2 linked regions of the Bombyx mori genome follow. Each later gene encodes a partner of the first gene's protein in a complex. Links are inferred from orthologs where the notes say so. Each region holds a gene or a part of one and is shown in the gene's direction. Other genes may lie near its edges.

Region 1 (4,200 bases):
TTCTGATAATGGTATCCATAAGAAAACCATATAAGTCTTAAATTTGCCTTATGTACGTGCGCGACAAATAGATGAATAACTCAATATCACGCCAACCCATTTCGATGATTATTGTTTTTAGTGTGTATAATACATACCTAATTTGTTTTGGAATATTATTTTTTTCTATTTGTAGTCGGTTTTTGTTAAAGTATGTCTATTTACAATTATTTTTAACAATCTTTTATTAGCTTGGCATTGTATGTAACAGATTCTTTGAATGAAATCCCACTTTATAAATGTCGGATTGACTTGAAACTTCGCACACCTATCAACGACCATAGACCTATATAGTCTCAACAACCGATAACAATGAAATAATTTAATAAAATTGTCCGATTAGTAACTTGATTGAGATTTTTAGGCTTAAAGACTGTACGGACGGTTAAAACACGGTAGTGTCTTGTGCCAAGTACAGAGGCGCGTACGCGGCTGCTGCTTCTCTTGGATTTATGATAGCCGTTTCTCAGGTTCCTTCTCTGGAACCGATCGGATTATGAAATAATCATAGATCGACCTAATAACCTGTTTTCACATATGGTGCACTAAAACGGCGATTGTTCCTTGCTATGAAATGACCATAGTTAAAGACAAAAAAAAATCGTGAGGTGGTTTTTAGATTTAAGATTTTATAGTGACCACTATCAGTACTACCAATATTTCATTAAAATAACATATTTACAATAATTGACGTCTACTATCCCACGCATTTTTTCGTTAAAATGCTTTTTCCTAGTCACTTTTTAAAAAAATGATTTGCTACTATACAGTTTTTAATCTATTATTTTTATGCGTGGTAATAATAAGATCTGTAGTTAGCTCATCCTTTTTGGCTCCTTAGTGGCGAAAACATATATGTATACATACATGTACTTATGTATGTCATGTTTGTCATGTTTGTCATGTCGGAGTTCTTGGACCTGAATCCGCATAACAGAATCTAATTAAACGCATTTGTATTGTACGATTATTCCTTTCATTATCTTTTTTGAATTAATCAAAAATTATATTTTTTACAGCATGTACATAACCTTCCAAGACGAACCTACCGGCAACGTTGGATTTAAAGGAACGACTTTCCACGCGATCTTTGGATAAACATTATAAAAAACAATATCCAAACCATAGGATAAATAGCGAGAAATGATGTGCTTCCATAATAATCTATAAAATGCTTAAAATCATATTAAAATTGTCTTTAGAGTATTCTTATTGATGTTTGAAATAGTTATTGTATGTATCCTTGGCCTTAGATTAGTCTGTGACTAACCGAAGCCGTTTTTTTTTCGGGCCTGGCCGAACCTCCTACGAGGTGCCCGCGCCTAGGAGGCGCGCGGGGTATGTGAGACTTGACGACCTGCAAGGTGTTGGGAGCAGACCGCGGGCCCAAGGAATTTTAGGGCCCTACCGCACTAAACGACTCTATTTTTTATTTTATTTTTATTGCTTAGATCGGTGGACGAGCTCACAGCCCACCTGATGTTAAGTGGTTACTGGAGCCCATAGACATCTACAACGTAAATGCGCCACCCACCTTGAGATAAAAGTTCTAAGGTCTCAAGTATAGTTACAACGGCTGCACCACCCTTCAAACCGAAACGCATTACTGCTTCACGGGAGAAATAGGCAAGGTGGTGGTACCCACCCGCGCGGACTCACAATAGGTCCTACCACCATAAAAAGTAGATTACCTATTATGATTTTAATTGTGTAAACTATTATTACACCCTAAGATACACATGTTATGAATGGGTGTGTATTATAGTTACGCGTTTACCATAATTACGTATACTATGTATGCATCATATCGTATCATCCCTTTGAGAAGGCGGTACGACAAGAAAACCCTCTTGTTGTGGCCGCCGGAAATTACATACCCGGCCCTGTGGACCGAATGGTAAACGGTCGACGTCGCCGCGTCGCCCTAAACACGTCATTACGGATCCTCCCGATCCATTATCGGTGCTTTTAGGCATTCCAAGGACCATTCACCGTTCGACGTGCAACATAACTAACGTATGTCCACAACCGACTGATTTTCGCACTGGATCTTAGACGGTCGCGATTCCGATCAGATGTTAGCTTCAGAAAGGCACTGTTCTTTTTAGCGCAGTGTGTTTAGTGCGAGTTTTTTAACTTCTCTATCACGTAAAAGTTAACTCAAATTTGTACGAATTGGAACAGCGCCCCTAGCGGCAAACCAAGGGAAACTGTTCTAACTCCAGAACTTAAAAAAACTCGCATTGAGCACACAGATGTTATAAAAGTCTCTGAAGCCTACACACCCGGCGAAACTAAAAAAGCCCTAAACTAAAAAACTAAAAACTAAAAAAGCCAAGACTACGGGTAATTAGTTATTCCAAAAAACTAGAGTAAAATTTTAAGTCAACTTTAATAGAGCTGACGAATAAAAATATTATTCCTATGTAGATGGAAGAAAGTAGTGATGCGTCAAAATTCTATATTAAATCTTAATTTAATTTTGTAAATGTATTTCTCAATGTAAAGCAAAGCAGTCTTTTTTGCATTTTCTTTAAAAGTTTGCTACGGTAACGCTATATTATATTTCACGGACACTCATAGCCACAGAGTTCAACTTCCACTGTATTCTTTTTAACTTTAGTGATAAGATGGATCATAAATAAAAATAATCGGAAACCTGTATTTTTGGAACAAAACAGTGGAATATGAACAATTGTGACCGCCAACTCACATTTATTAAGTGTAGTAGGGTATCTTATTAAGTCCAAATCGATAGATACTAACCATCATGCTTAATTCGGTTGCAAAGCAGTCGTAGAATACTGCTTCGAGACGGGCACTACACCATTCAAACTGACCTCATGTTTCAAGCTGAATAGTGGCACTTACATTGGTTTTTGTTTAAGCTGGCAACTTTATTCTAGGTGGGCCCTGAGATAGTTCACCAACTAAACCGTATTATCTTCTTTTTTTATGATTGAGGGTTTACTAGTGGCCCGGAGGCCTTTCCAGTTTCACAAGGACAGGTGGGCGAGCCAGAAGAGGCGGGATTTGCTAACAGCTACCCGAGCGCCTTCAAGGGAGACCTAGCAACTCAACAGTAGCTGCTTCGCGAATGAATCTACTACCGGATCGGAATCGCGACCCGCTGAGAAGATCCGGCGAGATACTCAACGGGCTGATGCTTATGTTAGATTGCACGGTTACCGGGGTCTCTACTCCTAGTGTTAGAGCGAAAGGCGTCTTATGCGAGGGTTATTGCGAGGTATCTAATGGATCCTTACAAGGACTACACAGAGTCACCTGGTTCCGAAAGGACATTTTACTCCGCTTACAGATCATGGGGTAGAGTCTGCCGAGAATAAACGCGGCACGGTCGTGGACTGCTTTTATATGTGGATGGAATCTCGTGGATAACCGTATTATATATGAACTAAGAATTAAAAAAGAGGAGCCCAAGGAACTCAAGCTCAAGTAAATCTTATTAGGGCATATCATTATTGGCATAAATTTTATGAGGCCTCATGCAACATGTACATACGTACAGAGTGAAGTTGTGTGAATTGTTTTAATTTGTCTATTTAGTGTTTCTTCAGGCTTAAATGTGTAATAACGATGTGTAAAAACGATATTAACTGTTTAGTATCTGTGCAAGTGTACAAATGTGGGAAAATTAGACAAAACTGCTGGACATAGCTTCTCGGGATCCTCCAAAAAGTCCACTGAAAAGTCTCAGTAAATAAGCACCATTTTACTAAGATTATATTTCATCCCATATCATACTGTCTCATTTCATTTAATTTCATCCCAGTTGATTAATGTCTCAAATTAATCATCTTCATTTCATTTCATTTCACTCCATATTATCATTTTTCATAAAAATATAAATAAAATAAGACAGAACTTAAAGGTCTTAGTTACCAGGTCATAAAATATTTAAAAAAAAGCTAGTTCGTACTTAATTACATATGTGCGGCTGTCATAGATTTTATAAATGCATTTATAGTGATAATTTTGATATAAACTCAACAAAAACAACTGCTCAGGAAGCTGTAGTTGTATTTTCTGCAGTTTTTCTACTGTTTGAATACTACTATTACTTGAATTCGTAATTTGTAATCATATTCTAGATTAAGAGCAACACAACTAAAACAAATTGATTTCATAAAAATCAATTCA
Region 2 (3,102 bases), on another chromosome or scaffold:
AAAAGTTTACTACAAAAAAGGTAAAAATGCAACGTAGGCCGCGAAAAAAAATTGCGATGTTTATGGACCTAGTGCTGTGTCTGTGAAAGTAGCACAAAATTGGTTTAAGCGTTTTCAATACGAAATTTTTATTTTAAGAATTTGTACGTCGCTCTAATCGAATCTTTTTGAAAAAGTGAAAGTGACTGATCGCATCTTTTTGAAAAAGTAAAGCAAGATCGGCATATCAGTAGTTACGACGTAGCTGAAGAACTGGGAATTGACTACAAAACAGCTTTGGCTCATTTGAAAAAAAATAGATACACAAAAAAGTTCGATATTTGGGTACCTCACGAGCTCACTGAAAGAAACCTAATGAACCGTGTACTCATTTGTGATTCTTTATTACGACGTAATGAAACCGAACCATGTTTGAAGAAGCTGATAACTGGTGATGAAAAGTGGATCACGCACGACAAGAACGTACGAAAAAAGTCGTGGTCAAAGGTCCGTCAGGCTTCACAGACTGTGGCAAAACCTGGGTTAACTTGCAACAAGGTGATGCTGTTTGTGTAGTGGAATTGGAAGGACATTATTCATTATGAGCTGTTACCACCAGGCAAGACCATTGATTCTGAACTCTACTGCGAACAACTGATGAGATTAAAGGAAGAAGTTGAGAGAAAGTGGCCAGAATTAATCAACAGAAGGAGTGTGGCTTTTCATCATGATAACAATGTGACCTTACACATCTTTAGCCATTCAGCAAAAATTAAGAGAGCTTGACTGGAAGATGTTAATGCATCCGCTGTTTATCCGTATATCCGTCCTGACCTTGCACCTTCAGGTTTCCACCTGTTTCGGTTCTTCAGAATTCTTTAGGCAGTGTCAGATTAACATCACGAGAGGACTGCCAAAACCAATTGTCTCGGTATTTTGATCAGAAGCCCCAAATTTTTTATAGCAATGGGATCATGTCCCTATTTACAAAATGGCAAAAAGCTATCGAACAAAATGATACCTACATACTTAAGTTAAATGTAAATAAACTATTAAAAAAATTTGTTAATTTTCTTAAAAAATGCGAAGAAACTTTTTCCCCAACCTATTATATTAATTTTCATGTAACTGAATATATAAAAGATTAGGCTGTATAATATATATATGCTTTCGCCTTTCTTGTTAGAAAATGGAAATACTACAACTAATCATTTGTCAGTTTTGTCACTGCTAGTTGTCAATTAGAAACATTTCGTTTGTGTTGTTAAGGATGATTTTCTCGTGTTATTTTTTTAATAGATCTAATTGATTACTCTTCCCTCTGGGTACACGTTTAATATAAAACAAACAAGTGGAGTGTGTAAGAAAATCATAACTTGTAATTGTTGTGAAATAAATACTATAAAATTTAAACATGAGTATGCGCCCCGATGACCACCGAAGAAAATGGGACAAAGAGGAATTCGAGAAAATTGCAGCCGAGCGTTTGAAAGCAGAGCTAGAAGAAGAAGAAAAATCCAAGAAGAAAGGTAAAATATTTGTGTCAACACACTTTGTTACGTTAAAATACAAATTTGACACAATATATAAATGTTTGTTTAATTTTCATTTTCCAGCCACTCCAGTCAAACGTGAACTTCTCAAACAACGTGAATATAAAGTAGATTTGGACTCGAGACTCGGGAAGAGTGTAGTAATCAATAAGAATACGCCAACGTCCCAATCTGGAGGATATTATTGTAATGTTTGTGACTGTGTTGTTAAAGATTCAATAAATTTCCTTGATCACATCAATGGTAAAAAACATCAGAGGAATCTGGGAATGTCCATGAAAATAGAAAGGAGCAGCTTAGATCAGGTGAGCTTACTTTTTCACATGTATGTATATGCATAGTACCAAGCAGGTAAATAGGATTGTTGACTTGCTACTAGATTTATGGTCTGAGATCATCAATTGGCCACTGTTGCATCAAAATAATAACAAACATCATGAACCAACGCTATTATTTTTGTGATTGCCTGAGTTGAGCAAACCTACCATCCCACTCAACTAGAGCACTCAATATTAAAATAATTCTCAACAAATTCTTTCAATCTTAATTTTATCAAGTTCTAATGCTATTGTTAAGGAATAATAAATGTAAAATGTTCAACCAAATAGATGATTTAAATTTCTAGACCACTAATTTGAAATAATCTATCTAACTCATCTAGCTGTTCTCAATTTTATAAATACCATTCAGGTTTTAATAATATTTATTCTATTCTATCATAGCTACTACTACTACATTATATTTGTTTGGTTCCAGGTAAAAGCAAGATTTGCACTCAATAAACGAAAGTTGGAAGAGAAAAAGCGTGAATATGAATTAGACACAAGATTAAAGGAAGCCGCTGAAGAAGAAGCTCGTGTGAAAGAGCTACGTAGGGAGAGACGTCGGGACAAGAAACGGAAGTTAATGGAGAATGATGAAATAGATGATACACCAGCACCTTCTGAATTAGCACAAATTATGGGGTTTTCTGGCTTTGGAGGATCTAAAAAATGATATGTTTTAAAATGTAAAGCTTATATTAATAAATACTGTGTGGTACAATAATGTTTCATTGAATGTTTTAATTATTATTTGGCTAATAATTCTATTTGCCCTGACCTTGTTTTATCAAGGTATAATTATGAACTTTGATTTAGCAGACAGGATAATATTACCATATTTATTTGGAAAAGGCTAGAAAAAACGACACCATGTAAATGTAACATGTTCCAAATGCTTTTTCCAATTAAAAAATATAAATTATAAGGCTACAATGTCCACTACCGGACTTGGTATGAGGGCATGTTTTTCATGTGCTAGATGAAAGCTTTTCACTGACTCCAGTAGTCCTGTATATGTCAAAACTCACATCAACTTTAGTTTTTGGGATTTGGGATTTTGGGATATGTAAATCGCACGTGACTACTTTGACTGACTGACTTTTCGAGGACAATAAACAATTCAACAACAAAATCAGTTGGCTGGGCGTTAAAAGAGCGCTCATCTCTCTACTCTAAGTCGTTTCTGTTGAGTCTGGGCTAAGATAACGATCTCGCCCAAATCTATAAATTAAAATAAGACATGACTT

The links. The genes of interacting proteins can lie anywhere in the genome.
Region 2: protein Red (region 1) and zinc finger matrin-type protein 2 share a complex: the UniProt entries of both Homo sapiens proteins name them as parts of the spliceosome B complex. The link is inferred for Bombyx mori from reciprocal best matches to the Homo sapiens genes IK and ZMAT2.

The regions. Positions count from the first base shown.
Region 1 is NC_085122.1:6,714,048-6,718,247, forward strand, and holds the start of protein Red, read left to right. Parts: upstream 1-1,400; 5' UTR 1,401-4,200. Other genes in the region: Mif (macrophage migration inhibitory factor), read left to right, coding at 1,059-1,137. UniProt on the Homo sapiens protein: Involved in pre-mRNA splicing as a component of the spliceosome. Auxiliary spliceosomal protein that regulates selection of alternative splice sites in a small set of target pre-mRNA species. Required for normal mitotic cell cycle progression.
Region 2 is NC_085128.1:9,738,011-9,741,112, reverse strand, and holds zinc finger matrin-type protein 2, read left to right. Parts: upstream 1-1,190; 5' UTR 1,191-1,393; coding exon 1,394-1,508; intron 1,509-1,595; coding exon 1,596-1,837; intron 1,838-2,288; coding exon 2,289-2,528; 3' UTR 2,529-2,579; downstream 2,580-3,102. UniProt on the Homo sapiens protein: Involved in pre-mRNA splicing as a component of the spliceosome.